Linked DNA regions of Arabidopsis thaliana. The protein of the gene in region 1 interacts with the protein of each later gene in a pairwise test. Each region holds a gene or a part of one and is shown on either strand. Other genes may lie near its edges. The genes, in order: AT1G36060, AT2G34140, TRY and AT4G31420.

Region 1 (6,147 bases):
CTCATTATCTATTCATTCTCTTCCGCGTACTATCTTAACTTAAATGTAAAATTGGCAGTTCTCAGTGACCGAACATGTAAAGAGCTCAGAAGCAGGTCAACTGCAATCTTTACCTGGAGTTTTCTTCTTCTATGATCTCTCTCCAATCAAGGTGAGTGTATTTGTGTGTTTTAACTGCAGTTTTAGAGCGTATTTATAGTCATAATCCTAACTAAAATGTGTCGTTTCCGTAGGTAACATTTACGGAGGAACACATATCATTCTTGCACTTCTTGACGAATGTTTGCGCCATAGTTGGAGGTATCTCTCTAATCTCTATATACCATAACAACACTTGTTGGTTAACGCACATTAAAATCCGAAATGAAACATGTAAAAATGCGCAGGTGTCTTCACAGTGTCCGGGATAATAGACGCGTTTATATACCATGGTCAAAAAGCTATCAAGAAGAAGATGGAAATTGGTAAATTTAGCTAAATCCTTTAAGCCTTTTTGGGGTTTTCGTCTCTCTCTTTTTGTTTTGCGGATAATACGATTCATGCTCCAAATGTAATATGGTGTCATTTATTTAATTCTTTTTGTTAAGCTGACTATATAAAATATACATATTGATACGTTACACTCTTTTAATGCAAATTGAAGGATAAGTCTTGGGTTGTGTCAATCCAGCTGTTGACAGCCTCATGCGTGCGTTACAATTATCGTCTTTTGACTTTTTGTCTTTTGAAGATATTATGGGTTTTGAATCTGAAGTTAAGTCTTGAGTCTATCTTTGATTGTAGTGTATGGATTCAATGAATGGAAGAAAAAGAAGCAAAACAGTCTCCATAATAAACGCTTAGAGTACAGAGAATCATTATTAGTATTGACGAGAAAGTTGTTATTAGTGAATATATTAATTCCGATTGCAATATATGTTAGGTCTCGGTTAATACTCGGATTCGAAGAACTGAACCAGAACCTATCCGAAATATCGGTTTGGGTCTGTTTTGGATCCTCTAGAACATTTGATTGGGTCTTGTCTTCATATATTTTCGGTATTGGTTCAAAAAGGATAATACCTGATAAATTAACGGGAACTCGAATATATTTGAAGCCTAACTAAACTCATGATCTCCTTTAACCTATATTGCCTGGTTTGATTGGGAACATCGGGTTTTTCTTTTCGAGTAGTTTGGATAAATTTGAGTATAAAGTAACCAACTTGAACTGTATCCGATAATTTTCAATTCACCCATATCAACTATCCGAACTGATATGAACCCGAAGGTTACCAAACCAATCCCGAACAAAATTTTAAAATACCCAAATAGTACCTCGATTCCTAGTACGAAACCAAAATCCAAATACTCGAGTCGAACCCAAACCGGTACCCGAATGTGCAAGCCTAATATATGTGCATTCTCTCATTCCTTTGGCTTGGCAATTGGTTTCTATATTTGCATGGACACTTTTATCATCCAAGTCTTCCTTTCTCATTTGACAACGTTTGCTCGTAAAAAAAACTCACTTTGGTTACCATTGTTAAACACAAAAAAAGAAATCTAATCTTTTGTGTTAACTTAAAGACTTGATAATTGTTTTACTTTTTTTTTTACTTATTATCTATCACTCGGTCTATTCTAAAGAGAAAGCATGAGAATGTCGTCAACGTAGGCACTTTGTATGAGGTTATCTTTATACCACGTAAAGTTCAATCAAGGATCCTTTTCTTCCACTCTTGTGTTTCTCTTTTGACTTCTTCAAAATAGGACCAAAATTTATAATATTAAGCTAGAAATTTAGCAATTTAAATTTTAAGTTTTCACTATATTGTTCCCTTTTAGACTAATTTACTTTTTAATCATTTCTAAGCTAAGCACAATGGTCCTGTCGCAGAATGGAACTTCACGATTCTAATGTGTTACAATATATTCATAGTAGTAATACTAACCATATTCATTTCAATTAAGAGAAAAGAAGAAGGGTCTACATGGTACGGCATGAACAAAAAAGCTTGAGCTGTCCATAATTTACACACTTGCATTACATTCATACAAAATGCTAAATTACAAATTTTACGCACAGCTAATAACCCTAAAGTTTAAAAGAAAATACAAACAAGTTAAAATGAATAAAAATGAATTGAATCCTAATTTTTCACGATAAAATTGAAGCCCAATCTATCTCATAAGAAGGACACTTGCCGAGCATGAAATTTTCATTCCATGGCATCTCTGGCTCTTGGCACATCTCCTGCACCATAACATCCGAAGTCGGTGAACCCGACCCATCACTTTCACCCGACCCGGAATGTTGTTGTGGCGCTGACGGCTGCTCAGCTGAAGAAGCCGCGGCTTTAGCTCGTTTCCTCGACGTCCTCTCCGTTTTGCCCGGCTGATTCTTCGGCTCAGCTAATATGGCTTCTAGTTTAGCGTCTACGGCAGCTTGAATAGGACCATATTCGCCGGTATCAGACGGAGACGAGCCGGTTTGGTATCGGAGAGCTGGGAAGTTAAGCCGAGCCGAGTCACCACGAAGCTTAAACGCGGCGCGATCATAAGCCAACGCGGCTTCTTCAGCCGTGTCGAATGTTCCGAGCCAAAGTCGGGTTCGGTTCCTGGGTAAACGGATCTCCGCGACCCATTTTCCCCAATGTCTTTGCCTCACTCCTCTATAGAGCTTAGCCGGTTTTGAAACCGAACCCGAACTCGGACCCGGTTGGGTCATAAAACCCGGTTGGCTCGGCTCAATGAAGTTAAGCATGCAAGTGTTGTTGTCTTGGTGAGTGTAAGTGATAGTGTTTTGGTAATGGAACTGAGATTGGTAGTTTTCGGGTTGTTGAAGATCCGACCCGAATGAAGATGGATAGGTCATGGATCCAGAATAAATATCCGGGTAAGAGGTTGTGGAATGTGAAGGGAATAAAGATGCATGAGGATTATAGTAAGAAGAAGAAGAAAATAGGTCGTTTGGGGCAGACGCAAACGCATCGTTTGAGGACGCAAACGCAGGATTTGAAGCAGACGTGGAAGCACTTTTGTAAAAAGGTTGAAGTGCTTCCATAAGCTCGCCGCCGTGGCCACCACCGAAGAGATCCGCCATCGGAGTTTCCTGAAATACAAAAAAAAATGTACTACAAAAAACAAGATTATATAAAATTATAATTAAAAAATGGTTGAAGAAATAAAACCTGTCTTTTTAGAAAAAATTCAAAGACTGGTTTTTTGGTTTATACAGAAATAAAAGTGATCAACGAGGTTTGAAATAAGCAACCTCCATAGATCAAAACTAAAATAAATTTATCAACAAAAAAAGAAATAAAATAAGAGGATCAAAACTTGAGGGAACTAAAAAATGCCCATGAAGTTGATCAACTCTATAAAAGAATGAAAGAATATTAATTGACAGAAAAAATCATAATATTTTTGATGGATATCGTTTTCTTGAAAACACTTTTCAAATACAATTTTAAACAAAAGTTTGTCGTTTTAGATGAGTTTTGGCAAAATATAAACTCATAAAGCAACACTTCATAAGAAAATCGTGATTTGTGTTTTCTCAAGAAAGACGACTGATGAATAGACAGGACATGGAAGAGTTTTTTTCTTTTGGTTTGAAGATGAAACGAAGCAAAGAAAGCAAGAAGAGAATAAACCCTAATTTCACTCAAATTTTAATCTCTCAATTTTTTTTTTCTTCTCTCACTCACACTCACTCTCTCTCACACACACAAACACTCTCTCTTTTGGAAGATGCTCTCAACCTCACCTTGGTAATACCCACCCAACTCTCACCGTTTATATAGAGGGCTTGTTCAATGAAGATAGATTAAAATATTGTTTGTACATCAATAATCCTAAAATAATGTACTTGACTTTTAAAAAAACGTATTTGACTTTAAAAAAATGTATTTGACTCCCACTATATAAGATACATATTTGATCCAAATATATATAAAAAAAGAAGTATAAAAAATAATTGAATAAAAACTGAATATAAATGTTGTAACTAGTGAAATGTTTCGAAGAATAGTTATGAATCCCTTGTTCAAAAAGTCGGCTGATCGGATAGAGTCTACCGCAATTTTGTCCAAATCGAAAAGATTAATCGTTGATCTGATTTATTCATCATAGATCCGCTTAAACCTGTCTAGAGGATGCCTAGTCCAAAACTTTTTTTTCATTTTTTTTTATTTTTTAAGATAAACATTTAAAAATATCCAACTTTTTAAATATCCAAATTTAAAACATCAAACTTATGTTCTAATTTGTATGAAAAAATCATAAATTTGAACTTAAAATCTTGTTTTCATGTGTTTAATACAATTCTAAAAACAATGTTATATAATTCTCTTAATTGTAATGGAGGAATATGTTTTAAAAATATTAAATAACCCTAAACTTAATTTCCGATTAATTTTCGTATAATCTCTGATTTTTTTGTTAGGTGATAGACCTATCCTCATCGTTCGACTAGCGCCTAACGATTTTTTGAGCAAGGATTATGACAAAGTGTTTTGGGTCAAAACCCACATAAACATTTATACGGTTGAATTTGTTCTTCTTGGTAGCGAGTACGGACGAACTACGGAGTACTGTGGGCAGAGCTGTTCTAGACAGAAGCATATCAAATATGAACTTGCGGACTTGCGTAAGCATAAGTACAACGGTTATTTTGGAAACAAATCAATACTTGAATTGGTTATATTGTTTGATGATAATTATTGTAGAGTTTGAATATTAACATTCGCACGACACTTGGACTCGTACGTGGAGACTGAAGATTCCATGCAGAGCAGAAGTTAAAGGTGCATTTGTTCTTAGCCAAAGAAACCAGGTCACATGTCCTTAGTGCCACAATTCGCATTTTTTGCCATTTTTGCGGTGTTTACGTTTTTTCCTTCTTTTTGCAACAGTCGTTGAAAATTAGTTGAGAAAAAAAGTGTTAACATCCTTCTGAGATCGATTAGTACTTCTACTATACCATTAAGTTACTATGCTTATACAAATAGATTTATCGAAAAACATTTAAGACCAATTGTTATGCAAGTATATTCAATTTTTATTATACTCCTTCCGTTTCACTTTAAGATGTTTTAGAGAAATTATTTTGTTTTATTAAGTGATATTTTCAAATTTCTACGCAAAAATATAAATATATTTGAAATGTTAAGAAAAATTATTGTTATAATAAAAATGTTTGAAATATATACTTCTAAATGTTTTGCATTTGAATTTTCTCCGAACTTAAATGGATGATGTTATGAGTAAAATGAAAGAGTGGCTTCATAAAATTACCACTAACACACTTCATTAACAAAAAAACGTTTTCTAAAATAGTGTTTTCTCTTTTCAATTCAGTAATTTTGTTGAAACTAAATTTGACAATTTTAGCATCTTAATAATGCTCGAAACCTCCAACCGTCAACAAATACCGTTGGAACAATAACAGTGATATAATTAAGTGATAATTTAATTTAATGATGAAATAATACCTTCTTCAATAAGTGATTTAAGTGATAATTAAGTTGCAAGATAGAAGAGCCACGTGAGAACGAAAGCATCACGTGATCTCAGGCGCAATTTGCTGCAAGTGGGAAATTGGACTTTACGTTGGCGTCGCCTCGAAATTAAGACTCACGCGTGTGATTTTTTGTCCCAATTAATCTCTCTTTTCTTTTGCTTACACACCATTTTTAACCTAAAACATCAATAATAGTACAATTCACAAATCTTATATTTACGGACGGTTGCGGTGCTAACTTTTAAAATCAATAATAGACATTTCAAAAGTTTCGGACCATTCTAAACCATTCAAATCGATGAATTTTAAAAGTTCTTTTTTGTAAACATTTGCGATTATAGACAGTTAGCAAAAAAGAAAAAGAACAAAAAAAAGTCATTTAAACAACAAATAAATAAATATTATCAAATCATATATATATTAATGTTCATTCTCAAAATTTTAAATACTTTTTCCTACTAATATCAGTGTATCAATCCCAACTGAAGAAAGATAATAAATAAAAGTAGTATTGTAATAATATTGTCAATTTGGAAGATTTATGAATTAGTTTGTCATATTTCTATGAAATTTACAAATAGAGCTGTGCTTATAAAAAAGAGGCGGATGCCTCAAACCCCAAATTTTCTATTGAATATTAA
Region 2 (5,784 bases), on another chromosome or scaffold:
AATACTCGACTGTGTAATTTTTATTTTTGAGGCTGTGGGAAAGTTTTGGATCAAACTTTGTTCTTGGTGTTTTTCTCTTTGTTTCTCCGTCTTTGTCTCCAAAAATTTTATTCACTCGCCGGCTTAGTTTTTGGAAGGGTTATTTCCTTTCCCGACATATGTAATCCACCGTTGTAATCCTTTAGTGAATTTTAGTGAAATATTTATTTCTAGTGAAAAAAAAGTAGTAGTGTATTACATGTTTTTATAAGATTTTTTGTTTGATATATATGTGTAGGGCGAGACTGCTTTGCTCGATGTAGTCCAGGGTATTACGAACGTTTTGAATGCTTCCATGACTGTATAACGAAAGGGTATGATGATGGAAACTGTGTTCCAGGGCCTAAAACGGGAAGATGTTGTTGCACCAGATGAATTATGTATTTTATTGACTTTTGTATTGTTGGTTCTTATATTTACTGAATAAAATGAATTCAAACATTTTATTTGTTCCATTGCCAAGTCCAGTCACATTATATAATCTAAATTGTTCCTTCAATCTAGTTTTTCTTGTGAAATTCTACAATCTGAATATTTGGATTTATTGTTAGTTCTTTTGAAAGTAAGGAATTCCTGTAAAAAATAAAAAGGTAAAGAAATAACCTAAACATATGCATTGTTGCATAACTTTTTGTGGTAAATATTAGCTACTAATTGCAAACGACGACAAAGAATAATATTACAAAATACAATGATTGATAGAATCTCAAAATAATACTCGTTGATACTCCATTTAGATCAAATAAAAATGATAATAGGAAAAAGATTTTATCGAAATGATACGTACCACACCGAGGGCACTGTAAAAGAGAAATCGTAGTCTCCCATCAATAGATCTATCAAGAAAGGAAACATAAAATCAACAGAATTAACTTAAGAGAAAAAAAAACAGAATCACCCAAAACATAATCAAAATCTAACCGGATACATCGGCACTTAGAATCAATGAACATATATAAATGCAACCAGTAATTTACCTTTGCCTTTGGCCCATGTCAGTGAATCTATACAGAAACTTCAAAAAATAAATAGTCCATAAAAGTTGCAGGAAAACTGAATCAGAGAAGAAAGGAAGCGAGAGGTGGAGGCTTTTTGTAGGAAGTAATAAGTTGCAGTTATTGAAAAGTGACTATTGATTTAGTGTATTTAAATATAAGAAATAAGTAATTAGGTTTCATCTTATATATATATATATATAGGTTTGATCTATTAACCATTTTTATGCTTAAAACATTAATGAAAATGGCAAATAACAACAAGTCTCTTTCACATGAATGCCAAAACATTAATCCACAATCTAAAAAAAGACTATTACAAATATGGAATAACACAACAACCGACTTATATAAGGTATTCCAACAAGTAATTGGAGAAATCTTGTTAACCATATGGAATTCTAAACACAAATGACAAATCTATCAAAATTTATTACACACGCCACTATACTAATGCATACGAATCCTAGGTCGATAATATTAATTAAATTGTTTAAAAAGAATCCTCTTGTATAGAGAGTAGTAAATTAAAGTAGTAATTGGATTCGATTGATTGACAAATGACAAATTAACTACTTTGCCAGCCTGTATGTACCCAATAGCAACCAAATTCACCACGTTCTTCAACGGGTTTAGAGGAAAACCACTCAACCCCAAAACCAAAACAAATTATTTTTTAAAAAAGAGAGTAAATAATTATAATCAGCACGATTGACCGTCGGAGTAACACCGGAGCCGCTTCATGGGAAAATCATGCCGGAAACTACCGTGAGCTGCGGCTGCGGCATGCTGCCACTCCTCAACGAGCAAGCCATTTATAAGCTCGACTTGGCGAACACCATTTCCATCTCCAAGCATACCAACCACGACACGACCAGGTGGTTTGGACTTCCGACGACCGGCGCCGACGGGAACGTTCCGGAGTGCACCACCGGCGGTCCAGTAACGGTGGCAGCCTTTACAAAAGTGTCGAGGCTGATTAACGTTGTAGTTGTTGAAGTAACAGAACTTTGTCTCCATGCTCTTGCATCTTGGACATGCTATGATCTTATCCGGACGCTTCTCGGCCGTCAGATCCGATGATGATGATGATCTAACGGCTATTGTGGCTTCTTGCTCCGGCGGGTGTGTCTCTTCTTCATTTTTTATTGTTCGAGTGTTAAATGCAATAGTTTTGCCAAAGAGTTTAATCCCTTGAGAATCTTGAGTCGCCATGAAAACGTGCAGAGAATGGAAAATAGCTTATCCAAAGTTTGTTGGGGGTAAGAAATAGAGAAGACGTCTTTTTATAGAAAGATGATAGTATAACTTTTTAGCAGGAATTGGAGAAGAAAAGTGACTGAATTAGTGGAGATTAAAATATTTATTTGTTAAAAACTTTTTAAAGCATGTAGTAATAGGCGCATTCATCGCTTTACTTTTGGGTCTTGAATTCACATCTACACGTAAAACACGAATGCCAATGCGGATCAAGCTACAAAGCTTTCTTTAAAAAGCTAATTATTTGAAAAGTGCAATTCGTAAGTAGTTACTGTAAAACCATACACGTTTTCCCTTTTTTTCGTCCACTTACTCTATAGAATAAATGAATACACATTAATTATTTCGTAACAATTTTAGACAAGCTAGTGGATGCTTGAACGTGATCCAACTAAAATAAGATTAAATTTACTTGAAAGAGATTCTATAAACATGATCCATCTATTCACATCCGAATTTGAGTCTATGTTCATGGATTATTAACGAATTAGAATTTCAGGGTTGTCGAAATTATAGATCTTTTTTTTGATTAACTAGTATCTAGATATAAAAATATGAAACAGATACTAAAAAATAATATTCTCTCCGTTTCACAATATAAGTTGTTTTAGCTAAAAACACACATATTAAGCATATTAACTTTTAAAAAGTTCAGCCAATCATAAAAGAGACTGTAAAATATAAATAATCATAAAGTATTAAAGTAATATATAACTTGCATAAAAACTTGAAAACAATTTATAGTGTGAAACAAAAAATTTGGTCTATAACAACTTATATTATAAAACGGAGGAAATATCCAAAACGAACAAGGCAGTAACTCATGAAAAGGAAAATGTCTTGTTCAGACTTTTTGCTCTCTAATATTTTACGAATTTGATAATGATTTCTCAGTGCACGAGTCACGAGTTCCATTTTTCTAAAACTTTAAATAATCTATTATCATTAGGTTTGAAATGCAACTCTCTAGATACCTAGGAGTCTTGCCCCGGCCCATACATATTTTCTTTTCAAAGAACATTTGGATGGATTTGTGCGTGTGTATGTGTTTAAACCCCCAATTAATACTGATCTTTAGGATTGACCTCATCGTTTTTTTTTGGAAATCAAGATTGAAATATTTATCTTTAGAATTTAGAATGGATGAACTATATACTGTATATATATATTTTAGATGTGATCTAACTTTTAAGACATAGCCGTCAAAAAAAGAAATGTTTGGTAATAAGTCAGTGTTAAAAAGAGGAAAAGAGAAAGGAGTATGAGCTTTTGAGACAGAGACATCGTTACTCATATTTCATATTTCTTCCTTTTGTCAGCTCTAAAGACTTCTTGTGGGTCCTCTTCACGGTAGCCTTCTCATAAGTATTCGAATTGTTTTAAATTTAATTACTAATATCTTATACACCATGTCTTGTCGCAAAGTGGCCAGATTGAAACTATATATAAATGGTAAAGTGGGTCGGACGAATGAGCTAAGTCTGATCAATTAATGATCCAATCTAGTGTCGATGGATTGACCATCTCAGCTATAATCTCACTCAAGTATCAACGACCATAAGTCCAGTCCTAGTATGATCCGGCTCGTCAGTGAAGTTCAAAATGGATCATAATTTTCTCATGCGTTGATATTCGATTGAAAGACGGAGTCTTTTGAATGGAACATTGAGGAAAGATAAAGCAAAGCAAAGTACTTTTCTGAAAATATGCCACTTTCAATTAACCTAATCCCATATTTGGTTGACGTATATAAAATATAAAAGTAAAACTAAGGAAAGTGTTAGAAATGAAAGGAGAAAAGAAGGAAGAAAAGTAAAAGAAAAAAAAGAGAACATTGTTTTTAACAAAAAGGAAAGAAAGTAAAAAAGAGAGCATTGATCGATGTTCATCTCTCTTTTTCTTTCTTTGAGTTTAATTTCATGTTCATCTCCCCTTTAAATTGTAGTATGAATTTTCATTGGTATCTTTCTAGTCATAAAGGAACCACTTTTACATGGTATGGAAAAAGGATAGTCTATTGTAAATTAATAAAAAGAAAAATCTTAGTGATTTCAGCTTTACCGATAATGCTTTTCTTTTCAAATTTACCAAATTTAAGTAACATCCAATACAAATATGCCATGACCGTTCTTTAACGAACGTACACATTCTATTAGAGTGTATATACTTGGTTTAGTTGTGGTTAAGTTTGGTTAGTAGTTTTGGTTTAGTTTACTTGTATTTAAGCTTAATCATGTATCACTTTTACACTTAATGAAGATTTCACGATTATTGAAAGAGATAAGTTGGAGAGTAATTTGCAAAAATAATTTGAGAAGTAGACACTTTTTTTAGAAATAGGAGGAATAGGTAGTTTTATCTCTCCTCTCTAATAGAACTCTCCTTCTAATACAGCTTTTAGTAAAGTACAATTTTACCCTTCTGTTGTTTTGATGAAATAAAATGGCCTGATTAAAAGCAACCCAATATCATCTCCAATTTTGGAATTGTTCATGGGCTTGACATTAATTAAAACTCATATTTTCTTAAGTCATTGAAACCAAACACACTCATGTTTTATCTGAATTTGATAATGTACAAAAATAATATAAAATAATAGTATACGACAATAATATTTAAAAATAAAACAACGATAGTGTACATGATATTCACGGTGTACATAAAATAATAAAATAATAAAATAGTAGATGACACCATATACAACTCTTTAAATCGTCTATCGTATTGTACACCGAATCTAGAGAACTATTTGGTGTACTTGAAAGTCTATGAGATAGTGTACAAACATCAGTATACAAAATGATGTACACCAGTAAATTGAAATAATAGGTTATATATATTCAAAAATATTGTACACTAAATCTATAAAATCGTGAATAATTTGGTGTATATGAAAGTTTTTGAGATAGTGTACAAATCCAGTGTACAAAATGATGTACACCAGTAAATTGAAATAATGGTTTATACATTCCCTATTAGTATACCCCAAATATTGTACGTTATGTCTACCAATTTCACACGTTATCATTTAAAATTGTGTACATCATTCTGTCACAAATCTCGTATATCATAATATTGTACACCAACATGTATACCATTAAGTTTAATTATATTAAATCATTTAAGAATTGTGTACACCATTCCGTCACCAATATCATGATTTTAATAGTGTACACCATTCCGTATTTCATGAAAAATTGTGTACACCATAGAATTTTCCGAAATTTCTTTTAATTGACAAAAGTGATATAATATACATTCCCTATTAGTATACCCCAAATATTGTACGTTATGTCTACCAATTTCACACGCTATCATTTAAAATTGTGTACATCATTCTGTCACAAATCTCGTATATCATAATATTGTACACCAACATGTATACCATTAAGTTTAATTATATTAAATTATTTAAGAATTGTATACATCATCCCGTCACCAATATCATGATTTTAATGGTGTACACTATTCCGTATTTCATGAAAAATTG
Region 3 (6,215 bases), on another chromosome or scaffold:
CCTAGCTATTCAAATTGTAGTTTGTAGATATCCGATTTTTTTTTTTTTTCCGTCACTTTGTAGATATCCGAATTATCAATACATTCTCTGAAATGGATAGTCCTAACGCAGTGTATCCACTACTGGTGAACTTACAACTGGGCTGTAAAAACTGAAATTGGGCATTTTTTATCGGCCCATAGTTTTACCTTTACTTGTATTGGTCGAGTGACGTTGATAATCTGTCGTACCTTGTTAAATAATGGGCTAAAATAATTGGGACACTATTGGGCCTAAAAGCTTTAACTAAGATTGTGATTTGTGAGTTTATGTGAAACGACATATAGCTGAAGAATTGAATCGTTTGGTTCGTAATCATGAAAATCATATAATGGAAAATTCTATCCGTTAAATCCTGTCCATGAAAAGTTAGTTTTAGACGCAAACCGTCCGTTCATTAGTCGTTTACCAATGAGAATCACGTTTTTTAAATAGACGTTTAGGATGATCTCATATAGTACTTTTTATCGTGTTGGTAGAAAGTTTTCAAACTGATAATTTTTTGTATGAAAGGCAATACTATATATAGATTCTTTATTTCTTAAAACGTTTATAGAAAAATTAAGTTCATACTTCATACTTCATAGTCCTACATATATATAGCTAGTGCAAGCATGTAACACCTAATATTTAAGTGATTGTGAAAATAAGTGTTCATAACTTTTGGTTAGAATTGGATCGGGGTTTTTATTTTAGTTACATTTTTTTTAAAGTATAGATACATTATGTCATTAATTCTGTAATAATTTTTTTAAGTAGTTTCTTCAAAATATACTAGTCAACTATAACTAATGGAGTATTTCTTTTTTTTTTTTTACTATTTAAAATTATTGTCATTAGTTAAAATATTACCCAACCATTTTTGCACAAATGATCAGTTTCCTCTTGATAAGTTCTTTCAAAGGACTAAATCTAATACACAATTTTTTTTACTTTCTAATTACTGATGTATTAGAGAATATAAAATATATTAGAGAATATAAAATATAAAATGTTACTATATATAAAATTAAACTATAAAATATAAATGTATTAGAGAATGATACAATTTGTAAAACTTTTATATGTAATAAATAATTCTCAAATTTTTAAAATTACTACTTTAAAAATAAATCACGGGATGGGTAAAGAAATTACAGAACAGATTTTATTTTGGAATTGAGTTATATGGTGGATGTATTTGAATCAATATTTATAAATTTTTAAAATATTATTAATATGCTGTTTTAGTAAGGGTTAAAACTTCAGTTTTTTAACAATTGTCTCATGGATTCGTTGTATAGCGTTACTTAATAACAATTATAAACTGTAAAATAAAAATATTTTATAAAAATAAAATTTGCAAGTTTTAATATATATTAACTTTAAAAAGTAAATTATACCGCGATATACCGCGGATTAAAATCTAGTTGTGGATATAAAAGTCGTAGACGAGAAAATAAAAAAACCTAACCGCATGGATTAAAGTTGATTACCAAATGAAACCTATACTATAAAAATTATAAATGAAATAACAACAAAAAGAAAACAATAGATGATGAATTCTTCAAACTAACAAGAACCACTACTATACATCTATTATAATTTTTTTATTTTCTTTTTTCGTTGGCTTAAAAACAAAAACACTAGGAAGGATAGATAGAAAAGCGAGGACGGTGAGGCTTGGTATGTTTGTGGGAAGATGAGTGAAGCTGGCGTCGTTTATCAGCAAAGCCTTCACTGTTTCTCATTATCCAATATCTCTCTATCTCCTCTGGTTGTCTTCCAGGAACTCTTCCTGCTATCAAATCCCACCTAATTCAAAAGAAAAAAAAAAACATTTTTATCCCAAGCATTAGCATTTATATTTTCATAATAAAATATAATTTGTCAGTTCAAAAATTTCCATTTTTGAGCCAGCCAAGCATTTATATACATGAGTACGTACTGATAAGAATAGTAAATTAGGTTCTTATTTTTATCTCTATATATATGTGTGTACATATATAATTTAATGAACGTGATAGCTTTAATTAAATGTCTTTTTTTAGAAAATTAGTGGACACCATGTGCTTCCCCTACAACATGGTACACTGTACATATGTTATAAAGTACATATGCTTAAATTAACGTATGTAAAATTGTATATACCTGCATATTAAATTGTTTTAGCTAGACATGTCTAAAATATAAAATTTATTTTATGCTGGGATAATCTTAGAAAAAGTAGAAGAAGAAGAAATTGTTACCTATCACCGACAAGTCTGTACATTCGAAAGATGAGATCTTCTTCTTGTTCAGTCATGTTGATAAACTCCCATTCGATACTGCTCACTTCTGCAAATAACAATATTAAACCAATTAAACTCAAAACAATATTAAACTAACAAAAAAAGACAAATATAAACTTTTTAAAAAGATATTAATTTTTGTTAAAACTAGAAACTAATCTTGATAAGTCTTTTAGTCAGCACGAGGTGTAACTAATTTAGAAGTAATTAAACGTATCCCTCGTTTTAACGAATATATACAAAGAGAATATGATCCTAGCTAGGAACTAAATTTATTTTCAAGATGTTTAATAAAATTGGATTTAGGAAATAGAAAATATATAGAGAATAGAGAGGTACCTTCAGAGTCATGGAGGGCGATTTTGTGTTGCTTACGACGGCGACGACGGTCAGTGTTATCCATTACTATTGAAGTAAGAAAAGAAAAATAGAGAGAAATTAATGTGATGAAATTTTGAGTTTGGAGAATGTAAGGAAAAAAAGACGTGAGAGATGAGAGTTTATAGAGCGAACAAGAAGAAGAAGAGGGGAGGAGAGAGAAGGAAATGTCCAACGAACGGCCTTTGCAAAACTAATAGTAAGAAGTGTTGTGTGGTCTTGTTGACCTCTTACCCTTTGTGTAGACTTGTCGTTGACACTCAAATACACATGGAGATGAAGTCTTTTATTGGGATTTGTAAGTATTTTGAAGGCTAACTTTGTTCTCATTCGTAGATCCTAACAATTTTTTTTTTCCATTTATTCAATTTTTCTAAACCTACTATCTTTTTAGAATAATGGGATTTATTGATTTTTATTTGGCAGATGCAAGTTCAACGATGTTTTAGTTATTGATTTGTTGTTGTTCTTTCCATTTTTGTATTCAAGTCCAATTTGTATTTCTAAGAAAATTAGTTGTTATTAGGTTATTAGTTTTTCAAGTTTTTTTTTCAGGGTTGGACATACACACCAAACCGTACCGAATAAAAATTCTTGAACCAAAAATAAACTTATTTTTTTTTCCATATAGTAACAAATTAGTTTCACTATATACACTAAAATGAATCTAATTCGAACCTTAATCTAGTGCATGAAAATGAAACAAAATCTAATCGATCAAATTTATTAAAATTGTCCATTGTGTTTGTTATTAAACGCTATGTTTGAGCCAAAACACATACATATTTTGATAGTCATCATTGTCACTACAATTAGTTATTTTATTTTGATAGTTATTATAATGTAGGAATAAGTTAGATATCTTACAACTTTACTTAAAAGATAACGTCACCCAATATAAAACATGGGAATAATATTTATATCAATATATATAGAAAATACTTTTTAATATATTAATTAGATAGTTATTTATATTATTTTATTAATATTTTAAATAAACCAAACTAAAATTTATTTTAATTTAGAGAAATATTATTAAAATCGAAAAAACCAAACAAAACGGAAAATCGAAGGCCTATACCTAATATTCCCACTTAATATAGTACGTATGTTAATTAATTCATTAATCAACATGTTCATATTTTCATTCGTTATACAAGAAGTCTCATTCCCGATTGACTTTTCTTTCATCTCCACGAAGAGGTTGAAACAGAAATTTTTTGGCACAATAAAAAACATGATTCAGATTTTATCCCAAAATCACACAATGTTTTTAATATAATAATTCCACTTCTCCGAATAATTTAACATTTTAACCCCTGTTTTTTAATTCTACATTTGACATATGTTTTAATTCTAGAACAGTGACTAAGACATTACATACGACGCTGTATGGCAACTCCTTACACACGCGATTTAATGAGTGCTTCTGGAGAAATTCAATCTCTCACACATGATACAACCAAAATCCCTGATTTGCGTTTTCTTCGAAATATTTAAATCTATTATAAATCTGAATCGACCCATTAAACTAACGTATTTAATTCGAGTGAGAAACATCATATATAAAGTACGCTTCTCAATAAATTTTGTAAGAAAGTATACAATTACTATCATATTCTCACGAAAGAGATTTTCAAAATATAAAGTACCCTACCAGATAATTCATAATTGGATAAAAGATTAAACGGAAGAAATCTGTAGTCTACGGCGAAAGACATCGTGTGAGGCGAGTCATGTGATGTATATCGCATCATCCTCATTGCATAGAAACTGTGTATTATGTGATAGATTTGGAATTTTTTTAATAGGAAGCCTAGTTGGTAAAATATCTCTTTACTCGAAGCTTAAATACAATATAGCAATATAAATGATTTTCATAAACTTTTGATAAACAAATCAATTCGATATCGAAGAATGCATCAATGAAAATGTGTCTTTAGTTTGGAGCTAAAAGAACGAAATTGGTTTGCATAGCTAAACTAATGTCTAAAATTCTGGTACAAAAGGACAAAGATGTGATTACCTTTTCTATTATTTGATTATATCAACAACAACAAAGATGTGACATGTTGCCTCCTAGAAAGATTTTTCATAATAGCAATCACTATCCATTTCTCTTTCCACTTTAATTAAAATTAAAACTCTTGTACAAATTATTCTTTTTGGTTGAACAATAAATTTGATATTACACAAGAAAAGAAGATAGATTACTCGTAAAAGAACTGCTATTAAGGAATATTTTTGTAGTTAATAAGAAAGTTATAAGAGAAAGAAAAGAAATATTGAACCGATTTGAAACATGGTTGCAGCTGTTGGTAGATCAATTCAACTAACATTCTTAGGCCTAAATAAACATATATTTATTTGTAACGTATCGAATGATTACACATATTATACGAGTGCCCCCATACATGCATGTATATAGGAGTATTTTATATTTTATTAAACCTGGGTCATTAAAATATTAATTTAAACCCCACAAAGTAAAAGCTCGAATCAAATAATAAAACTTGTTGAACTGTAGATGTTTTGATTGGTTAACAACATTGTTGACAACATTTAAGGTGGTCCAATGAATGTTTCTGCTGCTTTCAGTTGGAAAAGCGTTATATACGAATTGAGTATATTCACTTAACCGCTTACACTCTTATGCAACATATGAGTATTTGCGGTTTTTAACAAGATGGAAAACGTGATATTTTAGAAGATGATAAGGTTTCTTCACTACATGACTATATATGAGTGAGTAGCCCCATCCACAAACAACATATGAAGTAAATTTATATTTGACTAACATTTAATAGGTCATAGAGTTATGAGAAATGAGGAGACGATGTAGTTTATTTCTTTTAGACTCGAATCGAATGAGGTGTGAAATTCCTTCTTCTTCTATTTTGTTCTATCGTATTTGTGAGTTGTTCTGGTTTTTTGGATCGATACGTTTTCATCCAGGGTAATTTTTTTTGTTGTTTTTGTATGAATGTTTGAATTTGATATATTGAGTTTTTGTTCTTATATTGATAATTTGTCATAGTTTGACATAGTTAAAATTTATAATAAATACTAATAAAAAATGAATCCATTAATGTATTTTAAAATTTTCAACAACATAAAGTTTAGTTGTCAAGAGATTGATTGATTGAATATCGATAGTATTTGACTTTTAGTTTAATATATTTTTAAAATGCATGTACGTATGTCAATTTTCAACACATGAATTAATGTAACATAATCTAATAAATTTTGATTAACTTATAAAAATAGAAAACAAATTCTAGACCAAACTTCGATTGGTCAGAGTTTGCCAGTCCTTAACACGTACTGTATTAGATTCAGTCCTTACTATCTCCTCTCGCTTTTTATTATGTAATATAATGATACAAACTTGAGGGAGAACAAAAAAAATCTAAAAATACGGCTTATCTCACAAATTATGATTATGGATATATACATAACAAAATTAAAATAGTAGCATATCGACGTTTCGAGTAAACGTCTGACTTTCTAAACTAAGACTTCAACTAA
Region 4 (6,899 bases), on another chromosome or scaffold:
AAACCCCATCATCTCCCTTCTTCTTCTTCTTCTTCCACTTCCCTTTGTAACTTTCAATCTCAGGTCAGCTTCTTCGATTTCCTTCTTTATTTCTCCATGTTTTTCATCTGCTTACTGATTTCCAATTCAGTGATTTGGATCCGTCGTTTCTAATTTCGCTAGGGTTCTTCTGCTCTCATATGTTTTTATATCGCGATCAGTTTTCTAAAATCCTTTGATTTTGAATCCGATTCTCACTCTCTCTTGGTTTCTTCGTGTTTCACTAGCAACTGAATCGTTTTCATCGAATTGGTTTTAGAGGTTTTATCTTTTGCATTCTTATTTGCAGATTTGAGATTGTGAAAAAAATACTTATTAGTCTCCTTTTACATTCATATATTCAGCTAATATCAAGTAACGTGGAAAGGATTTGTTCCGTCAAAGGTTGGTGATTATACAGAGACTGAGTTCCTGATAAGTTGGATTGAGCTTGTTTTCATTTGCGGATCTTTGAGAAAAAAGTTTGCAACTTTATGGCTCTGGAACAACAACATGTTTGTGAAAAGCGGCTTCAAGCCAAGACCTTTTCTACCCAAGAGTTTCAGTTGACTCTCAATTGGGATGATTTAACTTGTCCCATTTGTTTGGATTTCCCTCACAATGGTGTGCTTCTCCAGTGTTCTTCTTACGGAAACGGTTGCCGTGCTTTTGTCTGCAATACTGATCACCTTCACTCTAACTGTTTGGATCGTTTCATTAGCGCCTGTGGTACTGAATCACCTCCTGCTCCTGATGAGCCTCGCTCTAAGGTTTTAGAAGAGAGTTGCAAACCTGTGTGTCCACTGTGTAGAGGAGAAGTTACTGGCTGGCTTGTTGTAGAAGAAGCTCGTCTTCGTCTTGATGAGAAAAAACGTTGCTGTGAGGAAGAACGATGCAGGTTTATGGGTACTTACTTGGAGCTTCGCAAACATGCTCAGTCAGAGCATCCGGATTCTCGTCCTTCAGAAATTGATCCAGCACGGAAGCTTGACTGGGAGAATTTCCAGCAGTCGTCTGAAATAATCGACGTGTTGAGCACAATTCACTCAGAAGTTCCAAGAGGAGTGGTTTTAGGGGACTATGTGATCGAATATGGAGATGATGACACAGGAGATGAATTTGAGGATGTTCCCAACAATGAAGGAAACTGGTGGACATCTTGTATTCTCTATCAAATGTTTGACAATATAAGGAATGCCAGGAATCGAAGAAGATCAAGAATGAGTGAGAGTAGGAGAGGGAGTCGCCGCTCTAGCTATGAGAATTCCAACTCTGATGACAGCTCAGTAGCATCCATAGAGTTTCCGGAGTATAGAGTAGATGAGATCGATGACGAGTTCATCAGCACAAGTGGAGCTAACAGAAGTAGCTCTATGCACCAAAGGTCAGAATAATCTATAGCTTTACACCACTAATTTTGTATTGTTGCTGTCTGCAGAGATATACATTCTTACTTTCATAGTTTATAATTATTCTGCATTGATATTAAAGGCTTACCAGTGAGCCTGGTTTTTAGGCACCTCTTGAATGACAAATTAGCTAATCAGGCCCCATTGTGTGATATTTCTGGCATAATAGCTTGGGGTGTTGACCTGGTTTAGTAGCTTTCTTGTGCTATATATGATGGTTACTTAAGAGACATTGCTTGATGCCTTGTTTTCTCTGATTTACAGTTCAAGAAGGCGTCGAACCCGCTTCTATGAAAATTAGGTATTAACCTTCTGTTTCTATGCTTTTGGTACTGTCTTCTTGTGAATCTGTAATGTTCCTTTTCGTTCTTTCTCAGTCAGCTGGAAAATGAAGCGAAGCAAATGATGCAGACCAGCCTATTTGTAGCCAGTGTTCTTGGTTTTGGACCTCTTTCTTCTTTTTCTTTTTGTTTCTACACATAAATTTTATTTTAGGTTTGTCTTGTGACATTACTCGCAGCAGTCGCAGCCTTTGTACAAAAACTAAACAAAAAGCCTTTTTGGGATATTGTAGTACCCTTTTGTCGTTGTCTCTTCTTTGTTTTACATGCATCTCTGGACAATGTAGATATTGAGAGTAAATCAGAAGTCAACGTTCGTGTATTAATTTTTAACATTTCTATTTCAGTGAACATACTCTTTTTAAAGCTTACTCTTATTACCAAGTAGCAACACAACTTGGTCAAAGACTCAAAAGTACATGAAATCATCATACAATCCAACACTTGAGAACAAGTGGCACATACACAGAAACTAATATGGGACGTTATTGGGCAAGTTTCTTATGACATTACTCTTCACTCCGATCTTGGTACGCATTGTCTCGCCTCTCTTGCTCATCTCCTTGCGCACTTTCATCCTCAAAGTCTCCTCTTTCGACGGTACTGTCTTCAGACCCAGGCTCTTGTACCTGAGAATTTACCATTTGTTGGAATAACCTTAGTTTACCTTGCCGATTATCTGATTGGATAGACTCGGATGATTAACGGGTTTGGAGAAAACAAACCTTGAAGATAAAGAGGCAATTATCTGGTTGCTGTCTTGAGAAGTTGGGCGTGGCTTCTGTCTGTAGTAACGCATGAATTCACGGGACCCGAGAGTTTTAGACGTTGTTGTGTTCTCGGACTTCTCCGTGATCAAGAGCTCAGAACCACCAACGAGTTCTACAGTATTGTCTGTTTCACCAGATACAACAATTTGCTTTCCAGCTTCATCAACATAGCTGCTCAATTCATATATTCCAAAGAAAGGTGCGGATTAAGATTTGGCATAGAACGAGGAATACAGGCGAGAACAAGAATAATCAGAGATAGAAGAGAGTTGAAACCTGCTGCTGTAGTCATAAAACTCTTCTAGCTCAGCATCTTCTTCATCATCACCATCACCATAATGCAGTTTGCAATGACTCTTTGCTTCCATATGTTTTCTTACAGCTTCTAAGCTGCTGAATGGACGGCACAGCTCATTGCAGTACAGACACATGAAGTCTCTCTTGACCTAAATGATGAGCAATGTATAAGTAAACAGGAGTAAGAATTTCAAAGCTTGACAACAACGAACACTGAATGGTAAATTGATGAGTCCAAACCTTAAGACCAAGGTAAGTGAGAAGCCCTTCAGGATCCTTGAGATACTCAATATCGGGAATAAAGAAACCATGATGCTTATGCATGTGAAGCATACAGCTCTCTAAGGTCTTATGTTTTTTGTCACACATCAAACAGCAGGTTGGATCCAGCTCATACTTATCTGCATCACCATCATCATCCATATCTTCAGCAGATCCAGACTCATTCACATTCAACTTAGACAAAGAATCAGAGGCTTCTTCAGCAGCCAATTCCTCGTCAGAATCAACCTCCACCCATTCATCTTCACTATCATCATCAATGGAACCCCTGTGTTGAACACGGCGAGGAAGTTGCCTGATAATCGCTATATCCTCCTCTCCGTTGATTGATGTCCCTTGTGAAACCCGCAAAACATGGCTACGCGACTGAAGATGCTGCTCATGAGCCTTGGAACTCCTGTAACCTTTAGCACAGATTGCACAAGTATAAAGCATAGGTGCTTCATTTGATTTATTCTTCTCCTGAGCAAGAGCAGATTGTCTAGCCTCAAACAAGGCTTCTGTAACTCCAGGAACTCCAGCCACCTAACATAAAAAATTACAGAAATACAAAGATTCAAATGCCTAGAAGTAACCAAATCTATGATTATTGAAATCCTTGTTCCTTAGTAGAATAAGCTTCAAAACAAATTTTCATATAAACTCTACGATTCCATAACCTTAACTAAACAATTTCGATAGCAAAATGGAAAAGCTGTTTCTCAGAAACTTTCATCTCATCACCGACGCAAGATTTTCCCGAGAAACAGATAGGCTTGAGTTCAAATTCGATAGAGAAAGCAGAAGAAATGAAACCTTGCGCTTGAGATTGTAGCGGTGCCAATCGGATTTGTAATGAAGGTTACGTTCTTCTTCGTCCTTGAACTCCATGTTACACGCGTTACATGTTAAACCAGGCATCTTCTCTCCTTCAATATCGATCGATTCTAGAAATGGAAACTGGAGAAGAAAAGAAAATCAGAGAAAAGATAGTTGGGAGGATAAGATTTGTTGTTGATATGTGTAGAGCAACGACGGCTCGTAAATGGATCGGCGATCGTGTTTGTCTCTAAAAAAGCGTCGATTGATGATGATTGATTGCCATCAAAATGAAAAGGAAGGCGCCCCGCCCATTTTAGATCCGATCGGGTTGGAACTGACCCGTTCCTGACCCGATACAAGAGTAGCCCATTTGGCCCATTCTTTTAGCCTTTTTGTAACACTGACACAGTTGACGAATTAAGTATTACTGTATGAGTAACCAAAAAACATTTTTCTAATATTGTTTTTAAAATAACTACTTACAACTTGATTAATTACTTCGTTTAATCATGTAACTTTTTTTTCTTCCAAATTCTAATCTCTCTATTAAATTACTGCATTTATAAGATCTAAACATCATGTGATATGTTCAAAATATGAAAAGAGAAGAATATAATACATGATTTTACTACGATTAATTTTTTTTAATCGCAATGTTTTGTTTTTGCCTAATTTTATTAGTGGAAGAAATTTTAACCGCAGGCCTGTAATTTAGGAAACTAACTATTCACCCCCAATTAAAAAAAAAAACAAGAAGACGACAAATAACGAGAAATTACCAATTTTTCCTCAACACTTTCATTATTTCCTACAACGAACTTCTCCCTCCTCCTCTCACTTTCACCATGGATTCCGTCTCCGGTTACGCCGCCGGAGCAGGTCAGCCTCGAGTCGGTGGGAAAATTGTTCGACCACGACGCACCGCTGTTGTCAGGACGCCGTGTGAGCGCCCCGTTCAGAGATCCCGAGATCCTCCTCAGCAAAACCCTAGTTGGATCTCCAGGCTCGTTTACAAACCCGCCAGCGTAATTGCTTCCGGCGCCGGAAAATTCATTTCTTCCGTCGTCTTCTCCGACTCTTCCTCATCTTCGGAGGAGGACGAGGATTCATCTTCAGGTTTGTACCATTTATTTCAGTTTAGATAGGATTAATTTGAATTTTTGGTTTATTGTCTGGTCGAATCTGAAAGCTACCGTTTCGTTTGAAATGTGAAGTTTGACTTAAAGCTTTCCCATTTTCTCTTTCCTTTAATATGTGGGACTTAAGAGCAGTTAAGCATTGTTGTACTCTATTTAGTTAGGTTACTTCTAAGCTATAAACTTCATACTAATTCTAAAGCTCTAATTTTTATTCATATAATGTAGTTCTGGGATTGAGAATACCAACCAGCTTTGTTGTGTCTTATTCTTTTAATGTATGGATTTTTATATGTTTTCTTCTTTGTTTGCAGATATTGATGGTGATGAGGATGTTGAGAAGAACAATCCCGATTTTACTGAAGAGGTACTAACCACCTTGTTCGTTTTGGTGATTGCTATGCCACTGTAGTCCTATGATAATTGTTTGAAGTAAAGTTCGTGAAGCTAACACGTTTTCAACTGAGAGTTTTTTTTATAAAAGCATAATTTCAGTTTTTGTGCTTGTGTGAATAGGACCTTCTGAGTGCCCAGCAACCAAGCATTCAACGACTCAGTTCTAAGCGTGTAATTGAGCAGCTTCTCTTGCAAGAAACATTTGCAAGGTATTTCTCTGCCTGGCTTTTTGGACATCATAAGTAGCAGCCTCCTCGACTATTCTTATTATTTACACCTCATAGCTTAAAGAATCTTTCTGAGACGTGTGTAGTTACCAAATCTAAGCTGATCTTGTATCCTGCTTATTCATTCATGTGTATGTTGTTTCAGGGAAGAGGGTGATAGGTTAATAGATATCATCAAGGCTAGGGTTGTAGATCATCCCAGCGTCCCCTCTGCTATTGAGACGAGTCATGATGACTATGGATTGACAAGCGGTATGTTACTGATGGTAGACTGTGCAAGTAGACCGGATTAGTCTATGTGATAACGTCTTCTTTTCTATTTTATTTCTAGACGTGAATGTGGGTGAAATGTCCAATACAGCTGTCATGGAAGCAAGAAAATGGTTGGAGGAGAAGAAATCAGGATCAAGTTCAAAGTATAAAGTAAGTTCTGGAAACTTGCTTCTTAACTGTTCTAATTGCTGCAGCCTGCAGGTATCAACTTTTTTGTGATATCTTGTCTCCGTGCTCTAAGCCATTATTATTATAGAAGGAGACATCTTCTGTTTGGGTAAAATGATTTGATTGTTATATGCCAATCCATGTGATCAGCAACTTAAAGCTCTCTTGCAAAAGTAGGTTGTTCAGAATTCTGCGTGTGGCCATCTGGTGACGTTAATTCTGAAATGTCCTGATTGGGAAATACCTTTTTGTCCGCTTAAAATGCAAAAGATCCATATTGTTGCTCTTCTTTTGACTATGAAGACCATTTACTTACATGATTTTGGTCAACTTCTGATAGCTTCGCTTCACAGTATTCTTTTTCCATTGTACTTTAAATGATGATCACCATCTCAGCCATTAGTTTAAATCTCCAGGCAACTGAAGATGGTGCTGGATCGCCTGTGGACGTGGCCAAGTCTTATATGCGAGCTCGTCTGCCATGGGGATCTCCAGCTGCGAATAATTTAGATTTTCGATCACCATCATCAGCAAGAGTGCAAGGGACACCCCTTCCTTATAGCGCTGGAAACTTTTCCTCATCCAAGGTTAGAATTTTAAGTTCTCCAGCAGTGCATACTTTTCTTTTGGTCAAATGTTGTTTGAAAGTCTGAAGTCGTTTCATCTTGGTTTATGAGATAAAATTCTCTGCTTAACTTCTATTGTTTATGTTAGATAACCACGAGGAATTTGTGGGACACTATTTCCAGCTATTCCTAAAGAAAAGTTGCATACCGTTATA

The links.
Region 2: the proteins of AT1G36060 (region 1) and AT2G34140 interact in a two-hybrid assay, tested with the Arabidopsis thaliana proteins (one large-scale study listed by BioGRID).
Region 3: the proteins of AT1G36060 (region 1) and TRY interact in a two-hybrid assay, tested with the Arabidopsis thaliana proteins (one large-scale study listed by BioGRID).
Region 4: the proteins of AT1G36060 (region 1) and AT4G31420 interact in a two-hybrid assay, tested with the Arabidopsis thaliana proteins (one large-scale study listed by BioGRID).

The regions. Positions count from the first base shown.
Region 1 is NC_003070.9:13,452,578-13,458,724, forward strand, and holds AT1G36060 (Integrase-type DNA-binding superfamily protein), read right to left. Parts: upstream 3,760-6,147; 5' UTR 3,086-3,759; coding exon 2,141-3,085; 3' UTR 1,919-2,140; downstream 1-1,918. Other genes in the region: AT1G36050 (Endoplasmic reticulum vesicle transporter protein), read left to right, coding at 59-151, 234-300, 387-464, 784-1,106.
Region 2 is NC_003071.7:14,412,452-14,418,235, forward strand, and holds AT2G34140 (Dof-type zinc finger DNA-binding family protein), read right to left. Parts: upstream 2,338-5,784; 5' UTR 2,250-2,337; coding exon 1,737-2,249; 3' UTR 1,243-1,736; downstream 1-1,242. UniProt on the Arabidopsis thaliana protein: Transcription factor that binds specifically to a 5'-AA[AG]G-3' consensus core sequence. Transcriptional repressor of 'CONSTANS' expression. Regulates a photoperiodic flowering response.
Region 3 is NC_003076.8:21,579,410-21,585,624, reverse strand, and holds TRY (Homeodomain-like superfamily protein), read right to left. Parts: upstream 3,012-6,215; 5' UTR 2,713-3,011; coding exon 2,649-2,712; intron 2,356-2,648; coding exon 2,268-2,355; intron 1,834-2,267; coding exon 1,665-1,833; 3' UTR 1,382-1,664; downstream 1-1,381. UniProt on the Arabidopsis thaliana protein: Transcription factor. Involved in epidermal cell fate specification. Negative regulator of trichome development, including endoreplication, by lateral inhibition involving intercellular interactions.
Region 4 is NC_003075.7:15,243,747-15,250,645, forward strand, and holds AT4G31420 (Zinc finger protein 622), read right to left. Parts: upstream 4,313-6,899; 5' UTR 4,018-4,312; coding exon 3,913-4,017; intron 3,643-3,912; coding exon 3,076-3,642; intron 2,985-3,075; coding exon 2,815-2,984; intron 2,713-2,814; coding exon 2,494-2,712; intron 2,398-2,493; coding exon 2,241-2,397; 3' UTR 2,070-2,240; downstream 1-2,069. Other genes in the region: AT4G31410 (E3 ubiquitin-protein ligase, putative (DUF1644)), read left to right, coding at 513-1,402, 1,692-1,728; AT4G31430 (flocculation protein), read left to right, coding at 4,764-5,034, 5,369-5,421, 5,571-5,659, 5,823-5,929, 6,009-6,100, 6,535-6,705. UniProt on the Arabidopsis thaliana protein: Pre-60S-associated factor involved in the cytoplasmic maturation of the 60S subunit. Involved in the dissociation and recycling of other late pre-60S factors before newly synthesized large ribosomal subunits enter translation.